7 linked regions of the Cricetulus griseus genome follow. The protein of the gene in region 4 interacts with the protein of the main gene of each other region in a biochemical or structural test. Links are inferred from orthologs where the notes say so. Each region holds a gene or a part of one and is shown on either strand. Other genes may lie near its edges. The genes, in order: Shc1, Abl1, Rnf41, Erbb3, Hck, Tns3 and Rasa1.

Evidence for each region.
Region 1: the proteins of Erbb3 (region 4) and Shc1 form a complex in vitro, tested with the Homo sapiens proteins (2 studies listed by BioGRID and IntAct, with this or other methods). The link is inferred for Cricetulus griseus from reciprocal best matches to the Homo sapiens genes ERBB3 and SHC1.
Region 2: the proteins of Erbb3 (region 4) and Abl1 form a complex in vitro, tested with the Homo sapiens proteins (2 studies listed by BioGRID and IntAct, with this or other methods). The link is inferred for Cricetulus griseus from reciprocal best matches to the Homo sapiens genes ERBB3 and ABL1.
Region 3: the proteins of Erbb3 (region 4) and Rnf41 form a complex in vitro, tested with the Homo sapiens proteins (2 studies listed by BioGRID). The link is inferred for Cricetulus griseus from reciprocal best matches to the Homo sapiens genes ERBB3 and RNF41.
Region 5: the proteins of Erbb3 (region 4) and Hck form a complex in vitro, tested with the Homo sapiens proteins (2 studies listed by BioGRID and IntAct, with this or other methods). The link is inferred for Cricetulus griseus from reciprocal best matches to the Homo sapiens genes ERBB3 and HCK.
Region 6: the proteins of Erbb3 (region 4) and Tns3 form a complex in vitro, tested with the Homo sapiens proteins (2 studies listed by BioGRID and IntAct, with this or other methods). The link is inferred for Cricetulus griseus from reciprocal best matches to the Homo sapiens genes ERBB3 and TNS3.
Region 7: the proteins of Erbb3 (region 4) and Rasa1 form a complex in vitro, tested with the Homo sapiens proteins (2 studies listed by BioGRID and IntAct, with this or other methods). The link is inferred for Cricetulus griseus from reciprocal best matches to the Homo sapiens genes ERBB3 and RASA1.

What each region holds. Positions count from the first base shown.
Region 1 is NW_023276806.1:65,125,204-65,129,453, reverse strand, and holds the start of Shc1 (SHC-transforming protein 1), read left to right. Parts: upstream 1-1,450; 5' UTR 1,451-1,859; coding exon 1,860-2,354; intron 2,355-2,901; coding exon 2,902-2,972; intron 2,973-3,436; coding exon 3,437-3,500; intron 3,501-3,614; coding exon 3,615-3,734; intron 3,735-4,212; coding exon 4,213-4,250. UniProt on the Homo sapiens protein: Signaling adapter that couples activated growth factor receptors to signaling pathways. Participates in a signaling cascade initiated by activated KIT and KITLG/SCF.
Region 2 is NC_048599.1:143,524,716-143,528,215, forward strand, and holds part of Abl1 (tyrosine-protein kinase ABL1), read left to right. Parts: intron 1-404; coding exon 405-589; intron 590-3,500. UniProt on the Homo sapiens protein: Non-receptor tyrosine-protein kinase that plays a role in many key processes linked to cell growth and survival such as cytoskeleton remodeling in response to extracellular stimuli, cell motility and adhesion, receptor endocytosis, autophagy, DNA damage response and apoptosis.
Region 3 is NW_023276806.1:129,471,360-129,475,591, forward strand, and holds the start of Rnf41 (E3 ubiquitin-protein ligase NRDP1), read right to left. Parts: upstream 2,801-4,232; 5' UTR 2,537-2,800; intron 1-2,536. UniProt on the Homo sapiens protein: Acts as E3 ubiquitin-protein ligase and regulates the degradation of target proteins. Polyubiquitinates MYD88. Negatively regulates MYD88-dependent production of pro-inflammatory cytokines.
Region 4 is NW_023276806.1:129,334,173-129,337,297, reverse strand, and holds part of Erbb3 (receptor tyrosine-protein kinase erbB-3), read right to left. Parts: coding exon 3,049-3,125; intron 2,925-3,048; coding exon 2,826-2,924; intron 2,604-2,825; coding exon 2,418-2,603; intron 2,300-2,417; coding exon 2,144-2,299; intron 1,916-2,143; coding exon 1,840-1,915; intron 1,649-1,839; coding exon 1,502-1,648; intron 1,399-1,501; coding exon 1,301-1,398; intron 1,214-1,300; coding exon 1,025-1,213; intron 924-1,024; coding exon 852-923; intron 656-851; coding exon 355-655; intron 217-354; coding exon 1-216. UniProt on the Homo sapiens protein: Tyrosine-protein kinase that plays an essential role as cell surface receptor for neuregulins.
Region 5 is NC_048599.1:26,881,972-26,885,471, reverse strand, and holds part of Hck (tyrosine-protein kinase HCK), read left to right. Parts: intron 1-554; coding exon 555-658; intron 659-3,359; coding exon 3,360-3,500. UniProt on the Homo sapiens protein: Non-receptor tyrosine-protein kinase found in hematopoietic cells that transmits signals from cell surface receptors and plays an important role in the regulation of innate immune responses, including neutrophil, monocyte, macrophage and mast cell functions, phagocytosis, cell survival and proliferation, cell adhesion and migration.
Region 6 is NW_023276807.1:96,332,004-96,336,234, forward strand, and holds the start of Tns3 (tensin-3), read left to right. Parts: upstream 1-1,431; 5' UTR 1,432-1,591; coding exon 1,592-1,630; intron 1,631-4,231. UniProt on the Homo sapiens protein: May act as a protein phosphatase and/or a lipid phosphatase. Involved in the dissociation of the integrin-tensin-actin complex. EGF activates TNS4 and down-regulates TNS3 which results in capping the tail of ITGB1.
Region 7 is NC_048595.1:305,271,605-305,275,821, forward strand, and holds the start of Rasa1 (ras GTPase-activating protein 1), read right to left. Parts: upstream 2,801-4,217; coding exon 2,280-2,800; intron 1-2,279. UniProt on the Homo sapiens protein: Inhibitory regulator of the Ras-cyclic AMP pathway. Stimulates the GTPase of normal but not oncogenic Ras p21; this stimulation may be further increased in the presence of NCK1.

The sequences.
Region 1 (4,250 bases), about 64 Mb from region 4:
ATTTCCTGCTATTTCCTACCCTTCCAGCTTCCTCCCTGCTGGGCTGAGGTACAAAACACGGCTCTCCCCCAGCTGCCACTACCTAGCTTTGGTCCGGTAGATAATCTCCCATCTCTTTAAGCAGATTTAAAGGCTCATGCTTCCTTTTCTTCCAAATGTGCATACTCTTGGTCATTCCTTGCCTCTGGATATGAACGCTCCTAGAGAAAGCCATCTCTCAAGATGAAGAATCATTGTGTGTGTTTGGAAGTGTATGGCTGTGGCAGAATTTTTCCTCCTCTAAGAGCTGAGGTCTTACTTAGTAGACGGGATGACAGAGTTTCTTTTCAGGAAGAAGTTCGATATTCAGTAACAGCTCTCCTGGGATGGGGACTAAGGGCAGGTGAAAAATCGGAAGAATGATATTTAACCCGTTTTAAGTTCCGGTATTGTTAATCACAATCATACAGTTTTTAATTCTCCAAACTAAACCTAAAGGTAGTTTGGAGGTGAGCCTGTAAAGAAACTACCTTTTACTTCTTGTATTTGCCTCTCCCCCCCCCCCTTTTTCTTTTTTTAAAGGAAATAAGTGATAGTTTATTCTGGAGTAATGCTGATTGGTCACTTTCTTTAACTTCCTGATGGCCTTTAGCAGAGCTGTGGCAGGAAGCTGTGGGCAAAGGAATATGGGCTTGGTGTTATTATGCACTTATGGCCAGATCCCAACCTCTGGTATCCCTTTCTTCTTCCTGTCTTTATTAACACTGATTTGTTTATGGCCCTATTATCCCTTTGTGGCTTGTAGGCACCAGTTCTGTTTGTTTCATTTTCAGACCTCCAAGGCCAACTCCTCTACTAGTGTGAGGGACACTGTTGGGTGGACCTTACAGCCTGTAAGGAGAGAAATATGTCTGTAGGTCTAAAGGTAGCCTGATTGTCTCTACATCCTCTGGAAAGGGGTCCAGGAAGTCCATTGGTCCTTGGTAGGTAACAAGCCTAAGGGACAGGCTTGCTCTAGCTCTTGCCTAGTAGCTCCCAGACCACCGCCCAAATTGGCCTTATTCCTCCTGTTTCAGCTTTGCTTCCCTCTTGGCCTCGATCTACACCCACTGGGACAACTTTCTCTTCCTGGTTCCTTGCTCTTGTCCACAGCTGTTGTGGCTGAGGATGCTAATGGCCCAGGTTCCCTGGGGCTGCCACCTCACTTACTGTATGGTGGGGGGTGGGGATGGTCTAGGCTGTAAGAGAAATACTAAACTCTAGATCACCCCCCCCCCTTTCCTCCCTCAGCAGCTTCTGTTTCCTCCTTTATCCCTCCTAACCTTCCGGGCTTCCTGCTCTCTTTGGCTAGCCCATGTCAGTTTGGATTAATCCAGAGTTCCTCTTAACTCCTTCCTTTCCTTCTTTCCTCTTTTTCTTATTCTTCCATCTTTCTCTCCTACCTGGCACCTTCATCCTCCCCAGACAGACCCTAGTTGTTTGTATTGGGTAAGGGAGAGTGGCCTGGCTAGCACACATTGTGTGAGGAGGTGTCTCTGCCCCTCTGAGCCTGTGAGTCAGCATTGTCCTTGGGATTGGTCTCTCCCCTTGGTTCCCCGCCCCTGGGGAGGAGCCAGTCAGCTCTGGGTCCAGCCTGTACTCCTCAGCCATAAGAGGCTTCCTCGCAGGGCTGGGCAAGGATGTGGCCTGAAACTGTCTTGGTCTGACGTGGGAGAGCAGAGGCCACTTGTCCTTCGCTTCCCTAGGTCCTCTGTTATCACCAGGCTGCAGAGGTCAGACCAGGCTAAGGGCCTGGGGATGCCCCCTGCCTGGCCCCCTTGCCTGAATTTGGCAGGGGGGCCAGGCCGGGCCAGGCAGCAGCCCCCCTTCTCACCCCAGCCATGGATCTTCTACCCCCCAAGCCGAAGTACAACCCACTTCGAAATGAGTCTCTGTCATCGCTGGAGGAGGGGGCTTCAGGGTCTACCCCCACAGAAGAGCTGCCTTCCCCGTCAGCCTCATCCCTGGGACCCATTCTGCCTCCTCTGCCGGGGGATGATAGTCCGACTACTCTGTGTTCCTTCTTTCCCCGGATGAGCAACCTGAAGCTGGCCAATCCTGCTGGGGGGCGCCTGGGGCCTAAGGGAGAGCCAGGAAAGGCTGCTGAAGATGGGGAAGGGAATGCAGGGGCAGCCCTTCGGGACTCAGGCCTCTTGCCCCTCCTCCAGGACATGAACAAGCTGAGTGGAGGCGGCGGGCGCAGGACTCGGGTAGAAGGGGGCCAGCTGGGGGGCGAGGAGTGGACCAGACACGGGAGCTTTGTCAATAAGCCCACACGAGGCTGGCTGCATCCCAACGACAAAGTCATGGGACCTGGGGTTTCCTACTTGGTTCGGGTGAGTGTACATCCTCCTTTCTGCCCCCTCCCATTCCCCATCCAGTTCCTCTGCTCACTCCAGATTTGCTGGGACTTCCTGCTCTTCCCCCAACATCTGTGGCATTCCCCTAGTTCTTAACCCTGCCTGCCACATCCCTTCTCCAGTTCTATGCCTTCTGTTCTAGCCTGGGAGTCTTCTGCCTAGGTCCCCTTTCCTTTGATCCCTACCCCCAGCTTACACAATGGTCAAGCACATCAGAGGCTTTTAGTAAGTGTTGAATGAAAAATGACTTCTGGGTTCTTCCCTCTAGACTCCTCCCTTTTCCATAGCTGTCACTCCATCCCACCCAGTGCCTACAACTCCTCTCACAATCTCTCCACAGTGCATGAAGGTCCTCTTTGGTGGCCCTTCTTCACTATGGGGTGGTGGCCCCAGGAAGTAGGAAGGCTACTTTACCTTTACTTCCCTTAGGGACTACATAGGGCACAGTCCTAGAACCTTCTGCAAAGGGTGGGGTATTGCGGGGAGGGGGCAGCTGATCCATCCTTGCCTCCTTCCCCCACAGTACATGGGTTGTGTGGAGGTCCTGCAGTCAATGCGAGCCCTTGACTTCAATACCCGGACTCAGGTCACCAGGTTAGTGGAGAGGCAGGTGTATTGTTGGAGTCTTGTATGGAGGAGGAGGAAAGGTGGGCATTTGGTGGTGGTGCTGATGGTGACTTCTCATGGGGTGGCTAAGAGACCTGAAAGTTACACCAGTGTGTCTGACTGCAAAGAGCCAGCTCTGGTCTGGAGCACCACCTTACCCACGCAGCCTGGGAGACTGTGGGACGATGGATTACAAAAGGCTGCTTTTGGGAAGGGAATGGCAAATTTGGTAACTGGGAAGAGGTGGGGCTATAACCATTGAGGCCCTAACCCAATCAGCCAGGAAGCAGCCCCTCAGTGTCATCAAATATTAAAGGCCCTTAATTCAATCCACCACGACAAAGAGCCTGGAGTGCTCTGAGAATCTGGCCTGCTCTTCCCCTCCCCCAGCTTTGTGGCAGCCCCAGGCAGTGGGAGGCCAGGAGTAGGTCTGAGTACCCCTGTTTCTCTAGGGAGGCCATCAGTTTGGTGTGTGAAGCCGTGCCTGGTGCCAAAGGAGCCACAAGGAGGAGAAAGGTATGTGTGGTTGTGGTGGGCAGGGGGAAGGCAACCGCAGGCACAAGGGGAGGAGACAGAAGTGTCTCCTGGTGTTGCCAGTGCTCAGGTTCTGAGACTTGGGGCCTTTCCTAGCCCTGTAGCCGCCCACTCAGCTCTATCCTGGGGAGGAGTAACCTGAAGTTTGCTGGAATGCCAATCACTCTCACTGTGTCTACCAGCAGCCTTAACCTCATGGCAGCCGACTGCAAACAGGTGGGTGGGGCTGCTGAAAGGGACGGGGGTAGTTATGGGATGATGGGGTGGGGGGATCTGGAGGCCAAAAACCTGGAGTCCTCAGGAGCAACTGGAGAGTAGAGAAGGAAGAAATTAGAGGGCTTGGGTATAGTGACAAATTTAATCCCAGTACTCCAGAGGCAGAGGCAGGTGTTTGAGTTCCAACTATACAGTGAGACCCTGCATCCCTGTTACACCCCCCCACTCCCCCCACCCCCGCCAAATAGAACAAAATTAGAAGAGTGTAGGATTAGAAGCCGAGAGAAAGACTGGGCGCCAAGGTCATAGCTGGGGTGAGGACACGCGGGATCTTGACCACTCCCTTCCTTCTCCATCCCCTGCCCACATGAGAGAATGAGAGTGGGTGCCAAGGTCATAGCTGGGGTGAGGGTACACGGGACCCTGAGGCTGCTGACCTTGATTGTTCCCTTCCTTCTCCATCCCCTGCCCGCATCAGATCATTGCCAACCATCACATGCAGTCCATCTCGTTCGC
Region 2 (3,500 bases), on a different chromosome or scaffold from region 4:
CAGTTGAGCTTTAGGCTAACTGTTCCCTGTGCCTGGCATCAAGAGAAAGCCCTTTACATACTATCCATTTTCACACACAGCTGCCCATGGCAGGCCCTGTTACTATCTTCATTTTATGAGTGAGATAGCTGAGTTCCAAGGTAATTAACATGCTCCAGGCCATGGGACAGGACCTGTCCACATTGCCACCCTGTCTGCTTGTGTTGCTGCTATTGCAGCCCGACTAGTATTTGATGGGAGACTGTTGCTCCCCAGCCAGGCATTTGAAAGTTCTAGAGACCACACTTGGTTTTCTTTGTGTCAGTGTTACATCATCTGCCAACAGTAAAGAAGCTGCAGAGTTGGTGGGGGAGGAGGAGGGCTCAGCGAGGAGCTTGTACAGATGGCTCTTTTCCTTTTTTCAGAGACCTTGCTGCTCGAAACTGCCTGGTTGGGGAAAACCATTTGGTGAAGGTGGCTGATTTTGGCCTAAGCAGGTTGATGACAGGGGACACCTATACGGCCCATGCTGGAGCCAAATTCCCCATCAAGTGGACCGCGCCCGAGAGCCTGGCCTACAACAAGTTCTCTATCAAGTCAGACGTCTGGGGTAAGGGCCAGGTCCTGGGCAGTCCTTGCTAGTGGGAGCCCTCCTCCTCTGCTTCTCTACCGCCATCTCTCCTTCATTGCTACACCTTCTTGTTTGTTTCTGGCTTATTTTAAAACCCTCTTTCTGTTTTCTTTCAAAAATGAAGCAAAAGTGACCTTTAGGGTAGCACCACATTCGTGTCTTCATTCCATGTTAGCTAGCTGTAACCCTGATGGTGCAGCTATGACCCGGCTGACACCCAGAGTCACTCTCTCTGCAGGAGAGCTGTTCACTTTGGTTTGGGCTGCAGTCAGCACTTCATGTGGAAGTACCACTCGGTATTTATTTTATTTTTAAAGTTTTTTGTTGTTGTTTTTTGTTTTGTTTTGCTTTGCTTTGCTTTGAGACAGGGTCTTTTTACATAATTTCAACTGTCCTAGAACTCATTTTGTAGACCAAGCTGGCCTCAAACTCAGGGATCCACCTGCCTCTGCCTCCCAATTGCTGGGATTAAAGACGTGTGCCACAGTGTCTGACTTAAAGAACTTTTCATGCTGAGGATGGCCAGAAAAGATGGAGTTGAGTAGTGAGCCCTTTGCCCCACCCACGCCCTTTTTTTTTTTTTTTTTTTTTTTTTTGAGACAGGGTTTCTCTGTGGCTTTGGAGAGGCTGTCCTGGAACTCACTCTGTAGACCAGGCTGGTCTCGAACTCACAGTGATCCACCTGCCTCTGTCTCCTGAGTGCTGGGATTACAGGCGTGCACCACCACCTGGCCACCTCTTGTTATCTTAAAGCAAGTTCCAGACATTACATTATTTTACATGTAAGCACTTCAGTATTTGCATCTTACAGATGACTCCTCTAATACAGCACAGTGCTACACCCAGTCTTGACTGACTTCTGAATATCATCAGATATCCAGTGCTCACATTTCCAGTTAAACCATAAACCCAGGTCTGTGTGTATAGTTCCATGTGAGAGCCAGCTCGGCTCACTCACTGCAATAGTTGATGTGTCCTGTGTGACTCTATTTCCCTGCTACTGCTTTCTTTATTGATAAACTCTGTCACTTTTCCTTTAGATGTTTCCAGATTCTGGACTTTGCTTGTTGTGTTCCTGTGCTGTCATCTGTTCAGTGCCTGTGGCTTCAATCCTCTTAGAAAATTCAAAATCAGATCTGGATACCTGATGACATTTGGGTTGACTTTTCTTTCACTTAATACATTAGAGGAAGTGGCACGCCCTTAGATCGGTTTATCCATAATGCTTGACTTCTTACCCTCTAGTGTGGCAGTTCTCAACTGCTTTGGCAAACCTCTATCTCCAAAAATATTTACATTATGATTAATAGCAGCAGTAAAATTAGTCATGAAGTATCAATAAAATAATTTTATGCTTGGGGGTCACCACAACATGAGGAGCTATTAAAAGGGTCACAGCATGGCTGGAGAGATGGCTCAGAGGTTAAGAGCACTGACTGCTCATCCAGAGGTCCTGAGTTCAATTCCTAGCAACCACATCACATGGTGGCTCACAGCCATCCGTTATGAGATCTGGTGCCCTCTCCTGGCCTGCAGGGATACAGCAGTAGGAAGGTTGAGAACCACTGCTGTGTGGGATGTGGTGTAGCAGCTCTTAATGACCAGAGCCAGAACTGGTGGTTCACTGGGGGCTGTCATGTGATCATTCTCTAACTCCTTCATTCCATATTTAGTTAGCCACAGAGTGTAAAAGACAAAACCTGGTATGTGCTTGGCTACTCAGTGGTAGAGCTGGTGCAGAAATAGGTTCAAGTGAGCTGCCTGTCATGGCTCCCACTTTCCTGTAGTGGTGGCAGTTGGATTTGCTAGTCTTTTGTGGTGTTGACACACTGATATGTTTCAGTGTACTGTAGTTCTTTTTCTTAACAGTGGAGCATCTTGTCTTTGGCCAGTGGGAACTCCTCCCTCGCCCTTTTGTCAGTATACCTTGTAGTCTTTCATAACATCCATGCTGTCCAGAATGGCAAGATAGCCCAGGCCTCTTCCTTGTCCCAGATCTGAGTCACTTGTTTTTCTGAGGATCCCCAGTGCTGCTGGAGGGAAGAAAGACTTTCAGAGTTCACAAGATTTTTTACAAACTGTGGGGATAATCTTACCCACCTAGAAACAGGCATTCGACTACATAGTCACAGAGCTATGAGCGGAACATGGTATCTGACATCTAGCCCTTATGCCACTTACCTGAGAGACCCTGTAACCCAGAGGTCACCTTTCCCCTTCTCTCCTTTCACATATTTTAGTTTAGTATGAGTAAACAGTTTTGCTCTGTCCTACCTTTCCTGGGCTGTTATCATGGGGAGCCTGGTAAATGTCACTGATCAGACTGCTTTGCAGCTCTCTGTTGCACAGTGTGGAAAAGCCTTCTCCATCATTTTTATGTGCATGTTGTGTGCATTTATGTATGTGAGTACATGCATGTATGTGTGTGTGCGTGTGCGTGTGTGCGTGTGTGTGTGTGTGTGTGTGTGTGTGTGTGTGTGTGTGTGTGTGTACTTTGTTACATGTAAATGTCAGAGGACAACTTTGTGGAGTTACCTCTCTCCTTTCCCCTTTGTTGATTATGGGATGGAAAGGTGTTGGGAGAGATCCTAGATACCTGTACTGCTGACCACAGGTACGTAGAAGGGTAGGATAAAGAGCGAGGAGAGGCGCTTGCTCTCTTTCGGGGTTTAAGCCAGGTCTCAGAGTGCGTCTGAGACTGGGCTGCTAATCTGGTTATCGGCTACACATGTGAATTGTTTGCATCGTTATCATTTATAATGTACTACCAATAACCTTATCTTGTGTACGGTTATGTTCCTTATCGAAAAGGTCTTTAGGCTTGTGAGGCAAACACTTTACCCACTGTGAGTCATCTCTCTGGCCAACACCTCACATACCCTGATGTCTT
Region 3 (4,232 bases), about 140 kb from region 4:
GTCTCAATAAATCAAGAAGTCTATTTCTAAATTGTGTTCAGACCCAGTCTGAAATAATACTTAAAATCAGGCAAACAGTGGGAAAGCTGATGGACACCTGCAATACTAGCACCTGGGATTGAAGGAAGGAGGATCAGGAATTCAAGGCTAGCCTGGCCTATATGAGACCCTGTCTCAAAAAAATTAAAAAGTTCGGGCCGGACACTGGTGGCGCATGCCTTTAATCCCAGCACTCGGGAGGCAGAGGCAGGTGGATCTCTGTGAGTTTGAGGCCAGCCTGGTCTCCATATGGAGTGTCAGGATAAGCTCCAGAGAAACCCTGTCTCGAAAAACCAAAACAAACAAAAAACACTGTATAAGCTGGACAGTGGTAGCGCACGCCTTTAATCCCAGCACTCGGGAGACAGAGGCAGGCGGATCTCTGTGAGTTCAAGACCAGCCTCGTCTACAGAGTTCCAGGAGAGCCAGGGCTACACAGAGAAACCCTTTCTTGAAAAACAAAAAAAACAAAACAAAACAAAAAAATCCAGGTACTGCCTTCCACGTGGAAAACATTACTTTACACATAGACACCCAAGAATGCTGCTATAGGTGCAAAATGAGAAATACTCTGGAAGGAAATCGGGCTTTGAAAAAGGAGGGAAGAGGAGTGGGGCCTGAGGCAACGGGTGATACAAAAAAACAAGGTCAGGCATGGTGGAGTCTGTAATCCCAACACCTGGGAGGCTGAGACAGGAGGATCACTGCAAATTCAAGGTCAGCAGGGACTACAGGATGAGACCCTTCCTCAAATCATTGGTAAGGAGGGAAAAGTAGAGATGTTGCTCCAGGGTGGGCAACTTGTTCAGATATAGCAGTTAAACTGGGCTGACTAGATGCATGCCTACCGAGATAGAACCAAGTCCAAGTTTCCAGTGCCCTGAGAATTTGATTCAAAGAGGTACAGGAATGTTAACCAAACTCCTACTAATCAAACTCCTGTATCATATATATATATTTTTTTTTTTCAAGGGCTATGTTGGGATAAAATAATGGTGATTTTTACAAAGAATACAAATTCTCCAGAATATGGTACTTTGTTCATTAGTTCACCGTGCTCATCATCAACTACATGTTCACATGTCCTCTCAGAAGGAGAGATGATGTAAAACCTGGCACTTTCCCTTCTTCACAGTCCAGAAGAGGAGTGGTGGAGTTGATGTTCTTCTCCTCCCCATTTCCCAACAAGCTGGCACACACCTGTATCTCAAAAAATGCTTCCAGGAAGAGGTTCTATAGGCAATGCTCGGTCTCCTAGGGTCAAGACCCAGACCCAGAAATCAAAAAGCTTCCCGTGATGGGCAAATTAATAGGGGTTAATCTAAAAAAATAGATAAAGGGTTATTGACCAAGCAAAGAAGCAGGAGAGAGAGAGAGGTGTCTTGGGTTATTCCAGTCCTAGCTCTGCCACCCACCAACTTCAAATAAGGCATTGCAACCAGTTTCTCCAACTGTCAAACAGACGATGACATTTGCCCTATCTTACATACAGCAAATCAAACGACAAAATAAATAGGAAAGGAGATTCCAGACTGCTATTAGTTGTAGCAACAGAATGGCACAATAAATTCACAATGAGGACCAGAGGAAATGTTTGGAATTGCTTGTTCCCCCTTTTCAACTACTGGGAAGCAGGCCCTGTCACAGGGTCTACTGGTGACAGAGTATCAACATTAATGTACCCCTCTCCTTCCCTTACCACTATCCAATCCCATTCCTTCTTAGGGAAATACTAGCAGCCAGCAACACTGTAATTAGCTAACACTATTGTATAAGAAGTACCTGCCAAGATTCTCACAGGTCAGTCTCTGAGAACAGTGGCCTTGGTAACCGCCACAATTGCTACCAGTTGAGATGAAGCTAGTTTTTTAAAGGAAAAGTGTGTGCCGATCCCAAACATGCTCAATCCTGCTCGCTTTCGGCTCTCTCCTGTTCCTACTCTCTACCCACCAACTGTTCTGCCTCCTTGGGCTGGGGTGGGCTTCGTATAAAGCGAGTGGATGGATCGTGCGTGCGAGGGAGCGGGGCTGCAAATCATCCAGGGGCAAGGATGTCAGGAATGTAAGAGTCCTCCACGGAGGGGTGGGAGGGGAGAGGAGCGGCGAAGGAATAAAAGAGAAAGACAAGGCTGCCAAAGACAAGGCATGGGAAAGAAGCCAAGCTATGGCGCTTGGAGGGCGGAGGTTTGGGTTCCGTGGCTCCTGCCAAGGCTGGCCCCCAGAACGTTCCCCTCCTCGCCTCCAGGCCCGTCAATCATTGCCATTTAAACTCCACGTTGTCCCCTAGGCCGAGCCGTCTGCTCCTCCCCGGTCCTCGGGCCAGCCCAAGGCCACTCCCGCACTTCCCAAGGCTTCCCTGCTCCAGAGGACCTTCCCAAGCTCCTGAGCCCCCAGCTCGCCTCCCGACTCCTCCCAGCAGAGCTCCCTTCCTCCATCCTCCTCCCCCCCTCCACCCTTCCTCTCGACCCCCAGCACCTCCGACCCAGGCGCCTACCCACCGGGACCTCGCCCCCTCCGCTCCGCTCCGCTTCGCTCCCCTCCCCTCCCGGGTGAGAAGCTCGTTCAGGAGCGTTACGCACCGCCCTGGACACTGAGTGGGTTCTCCGGACGCGGGGCCGGGCTGCAGCTGAGGCCACGGCGGCCGCGGAGTGGCCTGGGTGCCGGCTCTCAGCCTCTCCCCGTAGGGGAAGGGGAAGGGGAAGGAAAGGATGGGGAAGAAGGTTCCAACCACTCCTGCTCGTCTCGGACTGACCCTTTTGCCACGCCCACCGCTGCTACGCAACGGGGCGGAAGTCCGTCACCAAACCCCGCCCCTTTGTTTAACTCGGCGGCGACGACCGGACGCTCCAAGCGAGCGGCCCCGGTTCGCTAGACCTCCGCTCTTGCCCGGAAGTTGTTAGAAACGGACCCCCGGCGGGATTTGATAGCCATTTGGGAGGGAGGACTCTATGCTCTCCAGGTGTAACGATCTGGGGCGACCGTGGATGTACTGCCCGGCCATGTCACTTCGTGTGCGATAACGCAGGTCTCGGGCGGGCGCTGCAGCTGATGCAACGTCGGGGCGAGATGGCCTCGGGACAACCGGTCTGCTACTGCTGCTGCTGCTGCTGCTGCAGCGTAACCTGCTGCTGTCCTCCCTGCCCCTCAGTTTCCAGAGCTGCTGTGGTCAGCATCGCGGAGCCTCCCGGCCTCGTGTCATGGGAAGGGACACAGCGGTTAACTCGGAAGGCTGCGGGGTGGGGAGGGGGGGAGGGAGGGAGGCAGGGAGGCAGGGTCACACCGCAAAGCTCTGACCCAGGGTGTTGTAAGGGTCGCCCGCCTCCCGGCCACATTCGATGGCTCTTGAGAAACTCAATCGTGCCCTGAAACACTGTGAAGGGTTTGGTTTCCTGAGGTTGCAGCTGCGCGATTGGGGGGTGTGGGTGGGAGAGAACCTGGACTTGGAAGTCACCGTGGAGCTTAAAGCGCTCTGCTATATAGGTAAGGGATCGAGCAAGGCAAGAAACGAGATTACATTTACCCCTTAGGCTAACCTGGTGCCAAACAGTATTTGTTATGTTGTCTTTTTAAAAAATTCACATTAGTGCATTTGTAACTCGTTTGTTTGTAAGAGGTAGTTGCCTTTGAGGACTGACAAGTACCCCGAGGGCACTAAAGGTGCTGGGTGTTTTAAGATCCAGTGAGAAAAGAAAATAGGAACCGGACATGCCCTGCGAAAAGACTTGCTTTTTATGTCCCGGATTCCATTTCTTCCAAAGGAGGCTGAATCTGCCTAATGTCTTTTCTAAAGCATAAATGCCACTTGATCCAGAGGCCTGGGCAGAACTGTTCAGTGTATTAAAGATGAAGGCCCCTATGTCTAAGTTAATGCCATATCCTAGGCATCGCTTTTTACCTAACTCTACATTTTCATGTATAAAACGGAATTTATATGTTTAAGAATAGCCGAGCAAAGAAGCGAAGAGAGGGGCTGGCATTCAAACTTCTGCCCGCTGCATTCCTAAGCCCTTGGACCTTTTTCCATTGTGCCACTACTTGAAAAGGAAAAAAAAAAAAAAAAAAAAACCCACAATCTTGCGAGCCTGGAGCGCCTTTTTCTGAGCCGAACTGAGGCGCCCCCTGGCGGTCGGTCCATCTTCTCCCGCGCGGAACTCATCTTCGTCGAGGCTCCTTTAATTCCTAAAACCTCCCCGT
Region 4 (3,125 bases):
GCGTGCTGCCCAGAGAAGCACTGAGGTCTGAGGCCACATCCATGTACTCGTAACCCAGCTCTTCAAGGGAACCAGGCCTAGGGGGCCGAGGTGGGCTGCTCCTTCTCTTCCGGTTCATGTATTCATACTCCTCGTCCTCATCTTCTTCTTCAGTACCCAGCACAGAGCTGAGACCTACCGAAGAAGAAAGAGTACCTTCCCGGGAGGAGGATGTACCTGCGGTTGAGAAAAATTACAAGTATGTATAGAACTTCAGAGAAATAACAAGGAATGGGGTAAGTTACAAAACAAATGACTAGGAGACATCAGAAAATATGAAAGAATCTAGGGGAGCTTGGAGAAAAAGCCAGGTACCTTTGAGGTGTGTATCTGGCATGACATAGCCATTGACATCCTCTTCCTCTAATCCTGGTGGAGAGAGCGGGGTGACAGGGGTAAGCAGGCTGTGTCGCTGTGAATGGTAGGCGCTGTCTCCACGTGGCCGAGGGCTCCGGCTCCGGCTCCGGCTTCTACACACCGACACTTTCTCTTGGAATTCAGCCTCAGAGCCTGTCACATGGCCCTCTGATGACTCTGAGGCCAGACGTCCCCGTGGAATTGGATGCAGAGAGATGGGACGGGGGCACTGTTCGCTACCCCCCAGAACTGCAGAATCCTAAGGAGGAAAATAACAGGCAACAATACAAGGAGAGTTAAACTGATTTAGAAGGAGGCGTGGTTGTCCAAGGCCTTCTCTATTGCAGGGTGTTGATTAAACCTTCAAGATTTGAAGCGTCTTCCCTCCATATCTCTATCAACACTTCCAAGCCCTTAAGACTCTCTGCCACCCCAGCCTCCAGCTGCCGACTTACCAGACAAGCCTGCCCGAGATTACTCTGGTTCATGGGCATGTACCCAGAGGAGGGGCTTAAAAGACTCTGGCTCTAGGATGAGAAAGGAAAGAAAAGGGTTAAAATGAAGGAAGAACTCTTTTAGCATGGAGGGTTCATGGAGCAGAATCCTCTGCACTAAGAAGGTGTCCTACCCCACGAGGCCGGGTGAGCGTTCCCAGCGGTAAGCTGAGGGCAGAGCCCAGTGTGGTCGCCAGGTTGTCCTCCTCGGCCTCCAGATCCAGGTCCAGGTCCAGCTCAGGCTCCAGCTCTACTTCCTCCAGCTCTTTGTTTGTCAGGGCAGAGGGTTCTGCCCCAGGAGGCATTCCAGGCCCACTCTCCCTCTACAGGAGCAGATAGCCATCAGGTGGATTCTAGTTCCAACCAGGTCTTCTCTCTAAATGACTTGGCACCCTCAAACCCCTCCTCACCTTTATGACCAGATACCGAGGTGGGTCACGGGCCATCCTGGTGAACTCATTGGCTAGTTCTTTAAAGGTCGGGCGGATATTCTCATCAATCATCCAACCTGTGGATGAGATGGAGGGGTTAGTGCAGAAGAGAAGAGAGCCAGCCATGGAGGAGAAAGGAAGGCAGTCAGCTAGAAAAGCAGGGGTCAGCAAACAACTCACACTTGACCATGACCATGTAGACATCAATGGTGCAGATCTGGGGCTGTGCTAACCGCTCTCCCTTCTCTAGCAGGTCTGGTATCTCAGCCAGTCTCAGCCCCGCATAGGGCTCTGCCCCGAAAGTCATCAACTCCCAAACTGTAACACCTGATGTAGAAAGAAGTGAACTAGTAAAGTATGAAAAATAGATACAGGCTATTTAAAAATAGTAAAGGGGAGGTAGACTGCTTTAATACAAGGATCAAAAGTTAGTTAGGTGGAGAGTTCCTAAGAAGAGGAGACACAAAAGATAGTGGGGGACTTGGGCTGATGACATGGGGGCAGCCAGGTATGCGCACCGTAACTCCAGACATCACTCTGGTGTGTGTATTTCCCAAAGTGGATACATTCAAGGGCCATCCACTTAATTGGAGTCTGAAGATGAAAGATAAAGGTATTATCAGTTAATTTTCACAAATGTCCTTACTGTCTTTAAACCACAAGTTCTCTACCATCCTTTGTTTTCTGAACTTAACATTTTCTGCCATTCTCAGTTCCCTCTCCTCAGACTGACCACGGCTCACCTACATATCTCAGAAAGAGCCCCCACTACTCCGTACTCCAGGCTCCTCCTACTGGACATCCCCACCCTTGTCACCTTACCTTGGCCTCGCTGTGTAGTAACTGCTTGTCTTCTGGTGGCAAAAGGTCAGCCACACCGAAATCTGCCACCTGCACCTGACTGGGTGACTTGAGCAGCACATTGCGGAGAGCGAGGTCCCTGTGCACCATGCTGTGTTCCTCGAGGTAATACATACCCTAGAGGAAGAGCCGGCCAGTCACTGAGCAACAGAAGCTGCCCAAACCCCGTGTCCTCAGACCTCAGGCAGGCCCTGACTTTCCCCAGTCAGCGGCGGCTATCACAGTCTCCTCTCACCTTGGCAATTTGTACTCCCCAGTTGAGCAGCAGCTGTGGCCCCAGTGCTCCACGGTGCTGCCTCACATAATCAAGGAGGGAGCCCAGAGGCAAGTACTGAGTGACAAGCTGCAGAGCCGATCCTGGGCATAGTCCCAGGAGACGCACAATGTGGGCATGGTCTAGGCTACCAATGGCCAGCATATGCTGCAAAACGTAGGAGGTATTAGCCAGGAAGAAACAGGTCCAGGTTCACTCCACAAAAGCACACCCAGTCCACCCAATCCAGAGATCCCTCTAACATACAAGTACAGCATGCCTAACATGGATCTCACACACTGCCTGCCAACACAAGATCGTATGTCTACATGCCTGGATCCAGCACTGCCTTTCTTTTAGTGGCATTCGGGCTTGCCTTCCTTCACTTACATCAGTCACAGATTGAAAACTCTGCCGCCCACTCTTGTCCTCGATGACTTTAATGCAGACTGGAATCTTGATGGATTCTCCCTCAGGGATCCAAACCCCCTGAAAAGTTTGGGGTAGACATAAAAAAAAAATCATTCTTTTCATGTTAATCTTTTGCCAAAATCCTTCTCCCATTTTTCTGACGTCTTCTCCCCGCTTCTCCAGGCTTCCGTGAGTCATTCACCTTGTGGACAGTTCCAAAGACACCAGAGCCCAGCACTTTAAGCTTCCTCAGCTCTGTCTCTTTGAAGATTCTAGCCA
Region 5 (3,500 bases), on a different chromosome or scaffold from region 4:
TTTGAGGCCAGCCTGGTCTACATAGGGAGTTCCAGGGCAGTCAGACCTACATAAGGAGACCTTGTCTCAGAGAGAAAACATTGATGAATGTTAGCTATCTTTTCCCCTTGTTGATACTGAGGAAACAGAGAATAGAATGAAAGTCATCTAGCAGGGCTGAGACATGCTGACATCTTTTCAAGACTCTCTCCCCATTTTGGTACATGAACTGCTCCTTATCCCAGTGAGGGTGAAAACTGCTTCAGCTGCTACAAAAGGAACATTTCCATCAGTATCCAACATAGCAGAAAAAAGAGAGAGGAGAGAGAGGGGGGAGGAAGAGAGAAAGAAAGAAAGCTGTTTCCCTCCAACCACCCCAAAAAGTAAAAAAAAAAAAAAAAAAAAAAAAAAAAAAAAAAAAAAAAAAAAAAAAAAAAAAAAAAAGATGCTACCTGAAGTCAGGTGCTTGGACCCTGACCTCTTGGTGGTCTCTGCTCAGTAAGGCCTGGGCATCATTTGAGCAGGATAGATAGGTCCATCCTGAGGCTCATACTGTCCTTATTCGTTTCTGGCAGGTGGTTCTTCAAGGGTATCAGCCGGAAGGATGCAGAGCGCCACCTCCTGGCTCCCGGCAATGTGCTAGGCTCCTTCATGATCAGGGACAGTGAGACCACCAAAGGTGATACCAGCCCTTCCTGCCTCCTGTGCCCCTTGGTGCCACCTCCAACCCCAAGGGACATTCTCTGAGTAGGGCTGAGCAGCTCAGTCAAGTGGCCATGCGGCCAGGTTTTCTCCCTTCCTTTGCTGCTCTGAGTGATGGGAAGGCTAAGGGTCTTTGCTGAGTGACTCTCCTCAGTTTGGGTAAATGCAGGCTTAGGCCAACGGAAGTGGTTTAAGGGTCTTTGCTCTCTTCAGTTTTGGTAAATGCAGGCTTAGGCCAACGGAAGTGGTTTGAGCCCTGGCAACAAACATCCTGCTGCCATTTGGTCCCCACTAAATAGCTCCTGGTTCAATTTTTTTAAATAGCCACCCTACCGTGTCCTGTCCACAAGTCCCATTCCTCCTTGGCGAGGAAACAGTGTACAGTAAGGTACAGCTAGACCCAAAACAACCTCTGAGACTCACTTAAAATTCCCTCTTGGTGGGGGAAGTGAGATGGCTTAGCCGTAGATGCCTGGTAAAAGGAAAGAACCAACTCCTGTCCTCTGACTTCCACAAGCATGGCACAGCATGCAAGCACCCTACCCCACAAAGACTTAAGTGGGGAGCCCTTTGGGGGCTTGTGGATAGGAAGAAGCCATGGATGGGTAGACATCAGGAGTCTTGTCCTGAAATTGTGAGCTGAAAGGATGGCAACTTGAGTGAGTGACTAGAGTTTAAAACAAAATCACCTCAAACCACAGAGAGTGGTTCCAACTAGCACTGCCCCGTGAGTTTCTGCAGGCAGCAGCGCCGCAGGCTCTCCATGAGTTCAGACTCTACAGGTGCAGCGCAGTGAGCCTTTGGTTGTCATTTGCTCTCAAAGTCACTTGATTTGAACAGGTCACGCCAGTTATATAAAGCATGACCTGGTTGGTACTGTGAGGCACATAGTTTGAGGGACATTGAAGGCATCTGTGTGTCTGAGACCAGTTCTTCCATCTGTGTGAGGTCAGCCAACATTTAGGCTGCAGAGAGGCACAGTCCCTTACCTCCAGCTATGCCTAGAATAGTAGAGATTGGGCTGTCCAGTTCTGCAGAGAAGCAGAACAATCAGCGGGTGCTGTGGAAGACCTGTGGACAGAAGGATGGGCTGGGCTAGTTCCACAGCCCTCGGTTGGGGGAATCAGACAGATTTAGAATGAGGCCCCGAGCGCTGGCTACTCCCCAAATCCTGTACACCCTGCCTAGCACCAGCTACTCTGCCCCATGCCCCCACCCCACCCCACCCCCACCTTGACTGGGACAGGGTGGCTAAGAAGGGGCCCTGGAGCCAACTGGCTAGGTTTGGAACCCAACTGTGCCACTTACCAGCTATGTGACACCAGGTAAGTTATGTCACCACCTCAGTGTCCTCGCCTATGTAAAATGACGCTGATAATAGTATAAAACCTCTACCTCATGAGACTATTCACAATGATGAGCAATATAACTCATGTAATTTTAATTTATTAAAAATGCATACTATTCCCACTCATTTATCATGGAATCTTAATTTATTGAAATGCGGACTATTCCTATTCACATGCTGTTCCAGCATGCTTAGAACAGTGCTTGGCATGTACAGTCAGCTGTCACTCGGCAATCTAAACTTCCCCCAGATCCGATGACATTGTGTCATTAAAAAAGAAAAAAAAAGAAGAAAGAAAAGAAATGCAGAGAGGCTAATTAGGCCAGCTCGTACATTGCAAACTGTGGCCATGGACTGGAAGACCTGTGTGTCTCTGGTCTATGCGACGATCTGTGTCATAGCTGCAAGCTTGGTGGTTTAGAGCAACGTATCTACATTACCTCACAGTTCTGGAAGGCAAGAGTCTGAGCTGGCTGGGCTCTGGTCGAGGTGTCTGTGGGACTGGCTCCTTCTGGGGGCTTACAGGGTGGGGTGGCCCCATTTCTCTTTCCGACCTTTGGGGCTTTGAGAGGCCACCAGCATGCTTGGCTCATGGCTTTTCCTCTCTGAGTAGCCACCTCCCTCTGATAAACACCCCTCTGAATTCACTGGGATGCCCATGGGTTCTATGTCATGTAAACTCACATATTCCCATGTGCAGGGATTCACATGAATATCATGGACCATTATACAGCTGACCACAGTGCATTTTTCACATTTCTGTAATCAGACCAGATTTTCTTTTCTTTCCCTCTCTCTCTCTCTCTCTCTCTCTCTCTCTCACTCTCTCTCTCTCTCCCTCTCTCTCTCCCTCTCTCTCCTTTCTCTTCTCTTTACCAAATTAGTATGGCATCTTGGCTTTTAAATAGATGACAGATGAATAAATTATTGATAAATGGATGGGTGGATGGATGGATGGATGGATGACTATAGATCAAAAATAACGAAGTGATAGTGACAACCAGCCTACTGGCTGTCTCAAGTCAATTACAAGTATTACTTCTGTTGGTCACTGGGCAATGTGATGAGATGGAATGGCATGACGACTCCTATTTCACATGTGAGGAAGCTGAGGTATGCCATGTAGTCATTTGTCCAAGAGCTCACAGCTGAGAATGGCAGAACTGGGCTGGGTAACCAGGCAGCCTGATGCCTCAGCCCACTCAATGACATGAGCATCTGCCCAGGTGCTCACGTGATGCCAGCAGAGGCCTCACAGGGAATCATACTGACATCAGAAGGTCAGGCCTCTGAGGTGCCATTCTGAGGGGCTTCTCTTGGACCAATGCAGGGAGCTACTCGTTGTCTGTTCGAGACTACGACCCCCAGCACGGGGACACCGTGAAGCATTATAAGATCCGGACACTGGACAGTGGAGGCTTCTACATCTCTCCGAGGAGTACCTTCAACAGCCTGCAGGAACTTGTGGCCC
Region 6 (4,231 bases), on a different chromosome or scaffold from region 4:
GGAGGTAGGGAGGTAGGCAGTGGCTATGGTCTCCATCTTTCCAACACCGAGGCAGAAAGGAGGCTTCTGTCTATCCTAGGAATAGATTGCAGTGGCCCAGATGAGACCAGGGTAGCTGGCTGCTCAGGAAAACCTCTGGGCCAGTGTCATGCCCCACAGAACAGCTGGAGTCCCCTAACCTACCCCTTCTTCATCCAAATGTTTAGGGACACTTGTCTCTTGAGAAAGCTGACATCCTCAAACTACTGGTTTCTAACCCATCGACACCCCTGCCCCACCCCACCCCACACATATCAGATACTAAAGTAGTATTCGAGCAAACCCTCCTTTTAAAGCACAAACTTTCACATGTCTGTACTAAGGTGCTGGTGTCTCTGCCAACAGGCCCTGGCATCTGTATTCAGACTCCTTCTGTGGTGTGGTAGTGGCTTGTTTTTGTCCTTCCTGTAACTCAGGCTGTGCTTGGAACTATGCCTGATGCCGCAGTAATGTCTCAGAACATCAAGAAGTTAAAGGAGCATGAGAAGGACATGGCCAGCCTTCCTCCTTGGGAGTAGCCTCTTTGAAAGCCCTAGTCCCAAGAAGGCTGGTGAGACAAGTCACACAGCTGTGTGTCCTCAGGACAGAAGAGCTCAATCTAGAAGTGTCCTGAACATTGCTGCTGAGAACTGCCAAGCTGAGTGTTACCAGTTTGGGTCTGCCTTGGGTCCAGGACAACAGCAGGAGGATGGACCATGGCTTGACCATGGGGCATGACACTGGCCCAGAGGTTTTCCTGAGCAGCCAGCTACCCTGGTCTCATCTGGGCCACTGCAATCTATTCCTAGGATAGACAGAAGCCTAGGATAGACATGCCAAGACTGACCTAGCAGAGAAAGACACTGCTTAAGGACAAGAGCCTGCAACAGACTTCTTCATAAATAGCCCCCAGTGAGGAGGTCAAACCCCGATTCCCAACTTTCCACTGTTGCGACATCACCCAAGTGTTCAGGAGAGACCACACATTGCTTTTCCGGTTGTGTAAATATAGACGTGCCTGCAGCAACGACCAGAGATCCTGAGGGCATGAATCATAAGATGAGGGACAACAGGCCTGTCCCATAGGGGGATGCTGCTCTCCCCAGCTGCTCCCCCATTCACCGGCTGCCCCATTGCCCCACTCCTCCAAACCCACACTCTGTTCCTGTTGCTTTGAGGACTCCCTGGAGCAGCCCTTCTCACCAAGAATAGAGCTGCTTCCTGGCCAATCTTTGAAGGAAACTTTGTTCCACCTGAGATATATCCAATGCTCCCTGCATGTGGGTGTCCTAAGGGTGACATTCTTTTGGTCACCAGTGAGGCATCCAGATTAAGATTTCACATGTCCACATTTGATCTCATCTCCCGCCCCTGCCCCCGCCCCCCAGGCTAGCTATCTATAGATAATCAGGAAAGTTAAGGGCTTACCTCAAGGCACTTTGAACTTCTTCAGGTCGTTGGTGACCTCACTCCAGGATCACATGATCAACAATAGACTTCTTGGGTAGGTCACTTGAAGGCATGCTTGGAGCAGACTCGTTGAGGGCCTTCAGCTTTCGGACTGCAGAGACAAATGTTCTTCAAAATAACCAAGTGTTGTGGTCACATGAAGGTATGTACCTTGTATCACGGCACAGGTGGATAGGCCATGGGACATGGCTGAAAATAAGGGGTACCAGGTAGGATCGGAGTACCTAGAGAGACTAAAGCACTATGTAGTATGTCTTGTTTCACACTTGATTGACTAGGCTGTCAGCAGCATACACTCAGTGGCTTCACGGCTGAAACTGATCCTCTCACTGGAAGTTCAGAGTCAATGTGTTGGTGGGATTGGCTTCTCCTGCAGCATCTTTCTCTGGCTGCAGCTGCCAGTGTCCTCTCGTGGCCATCTTGTGTGTATGTTCTCATCTTCTCTCATTTGTAGAATATCAGTGAGGTATCATTAGGGCTCAGCTTACATCACTCCTACTTGTGTCAAATGCCTGGTGTACAAAAACTTAAGGGAAGAAAGATGTATTCTTCCCCCAGTCTGAGATTTGAGTCCATTATGGCTGGGGCGGGGCAGGGCGAGGTGGGGTGGGGTGGGGTGCGGTGGAATGGGGTGGTAGTAGTGTGGAATGGTAGGTGATGTGGGGAGGTTGCAAGGGGTGGGATGGCAGAATGGGGTGGTGGTAGCAGTGGTAGAGTGGGGTGTGGTGGAACAGGGTGGTGGAGTGGGGTGGGGTGGAATGGTGATCGTGGGGGTGGGAGTGGGGGCAGAGTGAAGTGTGGTAGAGCAAGGTGGGGGATGGTGGAGAGTAGGGAGTGAGATGGTGGTAGAGGGGTGGGGTAGTAGTGGTGGAGGAGTTAGGTGGTGGTGATTGAGCAACTGGCATCACACCAACCCAGAGATAGAACAGGAAGAGACCAAGGATGGGGATGGATGGAGACACAGGCACACCCATACACATGCATACTCCCGTGAGAGCGCGCACGCACACACACACACACACACACACACACACACACGCACACGCACACGCACACGCACACGCACACGCACACACACTTTATTAAGTGTGGTTGGCTTCCTCTAGCCTGGCCCCACCTACCTCAGTTCTCTAACCTCTCCGAAGTCTATTCAGATGTTGCAGTCATTAGGGTAACTGTCATGGCCTAATTATCTCTGCAAATGCCCTCACAGACACACTATTAATATCATAGGTGTTTATCAGTCTGGTCAAATTGACAGTCAAGTGAATCACCGTGGACTGGGGATGTAGCTTGGTTGGTAGAGAGCTCGCCTAGCATGCGCAAATCCCTCAGTTGAATTGGCAGTATCACAAGTACAGGGCATGGTATATGCACGCCTCTAATCCCAGGACTCTGGAGGTAGAATTAGAAGTTAAAGGTCACCTTTGATTTCATAGGGTTTGAAGGCAGCCTGAGATCCATGTTGACCGTATCTCAAGAAAAAAGAATCACGGCTGGGTGTGGTAGCTCACGCCTTTAATCCCAGCCCTCAAGAAGCCGAGGCAGGTAGATGTCTGTGAGTTGGAGGCCAGCCTAGTTTACAGAGGACAAAGTAAAAAGGCCAGTTACATACTTCCTTTCTTTTTTTAAAAAAAGATTTATTTATTATGTATACAGTGTCTTGTCTGCATGTATGCCTGCAGGGTGGAAGAGGGCACCAGATCTCATTACAGATGGTTGTGAACCTCCATGTGGTTGCTGGGAATTGAACTCAGGACCTCTGGGAAGACCAACCAGTGCTCTTAACCCCTGAGCCCTCTAGCCCCCAGTTACATACTTTCAACATGCAATGCCATGGAATAAACAGCTCCATTCTGAGAGGGTGGACTAGGAGAACATTAAACTCCACAGTTCCATGTTCGATGTCTGGGCACATGGTATCAGGATGCCAGCAGGGAGCTCTAGCAGCCCCATTCTATGCCCCAGCCTGCTATTTGCATCTGCAAGGCTGCTCCCTTAGGCTAGCTGTGTTCCTCTCTGCCATGAACTGTCCTGCTGCTATGACAGTCAGATCTCTGAAATGGTAGGCAGAAACGAATACTTCTTCCCTTGAAGTTATGTGAGGTATTTTGTCACAATGATGAGAAGTCTAACCAGAAGCACTCTAATGACCTATTTACCCTTAATGACCTCTTTAAAGATCTTAACTACCAGCACTTGGTAGCCTGAGGCAGGAAGACCATGAATGAGAGGCTAGCCAGGTCTAAATAGCAAGTTCCAGGACAGCCTGAGCTGTAAGAGCCTGTCCCAAACAATAAACAAACTAAAAGGATCTTAACTCAAATTCTGACACATGGGATGTACTAAGTGAGAACTGGAATCTTTGAGCACAAGCCAGATGACTGTACTGTACTACTTAGTATTTTTTTTTTCTGAATGAAATACTGTGTATACATTTTAAAAAGTTAATAAGCATGTGACAGGCAAATGAAACCTGGGGAGAAATCCTAGCCAGCCTGACCCTGTATTAATCAGAGACGCAATTTACCCACAGGCATTGGCCACAGACAGTTGTGGTAAATCACTTGCTGGTGCCTGGGACTTGCTATTCTCAGTCAAAGCACTAAAAGCCCCACCATCAGACAGAAATCAAGATAAACCACCCCTAACTGATCAGCCCTGGACCAGTCTTCTCAAGTCTTTTGTTTCCTCTGACTCCCTCAAAACTCCAAAGCCCCCTTCACTTTCCAAATCTTGACCG
Region 7 (4,217 bases), on a different chromosome or scaffold from region 4:
GGTGCTGGTGGCCGTGGTGGTGGCACACATGCCTTTAATCCCAGCACTGGGGAGGTAGAGGCAGGCAGATCTCTGTGAGTTCTGTTCCAGCCTGGTCTACAGAGCTAATTCCAGGACAGCCAGAGCTGTTACACAGAGAAACCCTGTCAAAAAAAAAAAAAAAAAAAACATATATATATATATATATATGAACTACTCTAAGTCAAATTTTATGTTCATTTTTAAATATATTTAAAAATAATAAAATTACTTCTAATAGATTTCTCACAAATAAAATTTTCTCCAAATAATCATGCTTAATCTTAAAAATTTAGTGTGAAAATAATCTGTATTTTTCCATTCCATTTTGCTGTCAAGTTTAAATTCCTCTTTTAAAGCATATTATAACCTACAAAGGGAATATGATGGCTCAAGCCTACTATCCCAGCACTTGGGAGGCTGAACTGGATCATCACCGATCAAGGGTGGCTTGGGTTATACGGTGAGTTACAAGCCATCCTACACTAGAATGACAGCCTCTCTTAAAGAATAAAATAAAATAAATGAGTCTGCTGGAAATAATTTAATAATAATACACTGGGATGGAGAGATGGCTCAGCAGTTAAAAGCACTTGCTGATCTTTCAGAGGAGCAGTGTTTGGTTCCCATCACCCACAGAACAGCTCTCAACCACCTGTAACTCCAGTTCCAGGAAATCTGATGCCCTCTTCTGGCCTCTGTCACTGGACACTGTCACAATGCACATACACACATGCAGACAAACACTCATAAAATAAAAATAACTAAAGTTTCAAATGCCTTTAAGAAAACAAGATTGTAAATATGCCTAAATCAAATTCAATTACAAAAATGGCGTAAGACCACATTCTCTCATTATACTGCATTTTATTATAATAAAAGCATAACTGATTTTGGCAAAAAAGGTATATACACAATGCCGGAATTTTTTTAACACAGAATATTCCTAAGATAGACTGCAATACACAGACATAAATTAGATTAAAATAAGAAAAGAGAGGTTACACTTTGTGATGAATGACATAAAAGGAACATAACTCCCTTTCACCATAGCTGGGAAGTATCAAAACAGACCTAAACTGAAATCTGAAAATGTCAACAAACACAAAGCTTTCTGACCAATGCATTTCTAAATCACAACATGCATTCAAAAGAGCAGTAAATGTAGCTTAAATGAGAATGGATTACTATTACAAAATGCTTCCCTGATTGTCTTTAGGTCATTTCTTAAGCCTCTTAAGAAGCTGACCCTCCCAAAGAAAACTTCTCAAGTGTCCAGAAAGTGTCAATATATGAACCAAATCTTTTTTCCTACAATTACCAATGGTGTTGAAATTCTAAAGGTCAATTACGACTGATTCGAAGGCTCTATAAAACATGCTTCGTCTATTATTACCACTTCCCACCTCAACAATTTTCCCTCATCAAAATCAACCTACATTTACAAAGACATACCTATTTCACTTAGGAAAAGAACACATTAAAGAGACAACTCTAAATTAAAAGGGAAAGCCATTTTCCCTGATTAATTCACAATAAACTACCAAAATTAATTTCCAAACAATACAGCATCAGCCACGACCAATATTTTATTTTTTAATGTTTTGTACTGTCTCAGTATAGAAGTATTACATGAATACTAACAACATTAAGGAACAAGTTAGTGTTCAGTGTGTGAGCCCTTAATCACACCTGTAATTCACAGAACTTCCTTCCATTCTCGGCTGCTTCTCTAAAGTGATCTAGTCTTTTCTGAATCACAACTCTCCCAGTAAACATTAAGTAGGGATTTGCAACTGCAGCAAAAAGAAAACATTCTGACCAATGAATTTCCAACTTACATTAATGTAATACCCATGTAAACACCTGTACTCATGGTTCTCACTGTAAATCTAGATTCAGCAGGGGCATGGGAGGTACCATAGACAGTGGCTGCCTTTACAGTGCCAAGTTCTGCTGAATCCCGGACACTATCTCAATTAGGAAGGGGCAGAACCATATCCGGTCCTCACTGGATACAGTTTCCCATGCTTCCCATCTGAAAAACTTTGTCTTGCCAGAAAAGCAATACACACACGAGGACGCCAGGGACAGTGCCGTAGGGAAGATGTCTGGTCACATTAAATCCCTACATAAGGAACGTGAAACTTCAAAACTTTTCAAACAAATTACCGCCGCAGGAGCATGGTCTGTTTTGCTTTCTTGCCCACTTCTTTCATGGAACCAGCTTCCACAATCCCTCAACAGCATTTTGGACTTACTGGTTAGTGGGAGGTGCGGTCAGCGGTATGGCCACCTCTTCCTCCTCGTATTCAGGTCCATCCAGAGAGTCACCTTCATCCACCGTGCCCAGGCCGGAGCCCAAAGGGGGCAGCTGAGGAGGCGGCGGCAGAGGAGGGAATCCGCCACCCGGCCCGAGGGTCTCGGCAGACAACGACAAAGTCCCCTTGGCGAAAGGAACATCCCCAGCAGGTCCGGCGGCGGCAGCACCCGCCACGCCAGCAGCAGCAGCAGCAGCACCGCTGGTCAGCGCGGCGCCCCCCAGGACACCCGCCACTGGCCCTGTCGCCAGGAACCCGGACCCCAACGCGGCTCCGCCACCCAGGGCCGCAGCCAGGTCGGCGTCTGCCAGCCCGGGGCAGGGGGCGGCTGCCACCGGCAGGGCCGCGGGTAACTTCACCCGGCACGCTGCCGGGTAGGCGCTGGAGCCCGCGGCCGCACCGCCTGCGGCCCCCGCGGTGGCCGGGCCGCCTTCCTCACTGCCGGCCTCGGCCGCCATCATGTTGAAGCCCGCTCTCCTCTAGCTACCCCGGCCGCCCGGGAGCCCCGGGGGCCAGCAGGCCCGGCCTGCGAGCCGCCCCACCCAGGCGCGTCCCCCTTCAGCTCTCCAGGCAGAGGAAACAACAACAAAAGGAGAGCGCCCGCCGCCGCGCCCCCTCCTCCGGCCACAGCCCAAGCTCGGCGGCTGCTGGCTTACGGGAAGCGACGCGGGCAAAAAAGCCCAGTGCCTGCAGAAACGCTACCCGAGCTGGCCGCGCACACCCACACTCACGCGCACACATGCACAGGGCGCCAAACTTCCTGGCTACGCTAAAGAGGAAGGGAAGCCCGCTGCAGCGGCCAGGGCAGCGCTGCCTCCTCCGCCACCGCCGCCGCGCCTCAAGGCCCGGGTTCCGGCCGCCCCCACCGCAGCCACCGCCGGGGCTGCCGGAGCCGCGGCCGCCGCAGCCTCATCTCCGCCGGCTGGAGACCCGGGCGCTGGGAGGGGCGGAGGAAGGGGGCGGGCGCGCACAACCCGACTCGACGGCTGCCTGCCGTCCGCTCTCGGCAGCGAAACCCGAGAGAGAGGGAGAAAGGAGGGCGGGCCGCGGAGGAAGGGAGGGGAGCAGGAGCCCGAGGCTTCTGCGCAGGCGCCTTCCGGGAGCGCGTCTGGAGAGAGGCCAGGGAAAAGCAGCCCGGGCAGCAGGAAGCGGCGGCGGAGCGGCGGCGGAGCGGCGGGCGGGCGGGCGGGCGCGCGCCTGGGGGCGTGGCAGGCTCTCTCGCTGAGCGGCGAGAGACGCGTGGCGCGCTCCCTCCACGCCAAAGGTTCTGTGCGGGCCTGCCTGCCTCTCCCGGCTTTGTTTGCTAACGGGGCGACAAGGAAAGTCCCTCGTGTCCACGCCCGAGGGACCGGCGGGACGAGGAGGTGGTGGGAAGGAAAGGTTGATGTCAGGAAGTCCATTCCCTTCTTTCTAACTTGAAGAAAAATGTCCTCAACCACCGGTGCAGTCGGCAACAAAGGTCAAAGCAGTAGTCCCAGTTTATTCCTTTTGGTTGCACAATGTTAGTCGCCGTGCTACTGTCACACGGTAAAATAATTCAAACCTAGAAGCTGGGACTCAAGAAAAAAACTGATGAAAGGAGCCATGGAAAACTGTGAAGGTGGAAACACAGGCAAAGCCAGATTTCTACTACTAAAGTTCCCTGCTCCGAATGCCTCTCTCACACGTTTGCACGCCAGACAATAAAGTGTGAACAGGAAAAGTGCCTAGGTCAGTGTGGTTTTGTGCTAGTTTGTATTCAAGAGTCTGCAAGACATATCCAAATCTGAACTTTACAAAATTACCAAACTCAGATCAATGTCACCTTTAATATGGCCAAGGAAAAGATTTTGTTCGCCTTATGTGAATGTGTATATAAGTCTATAAGTTCATACACAC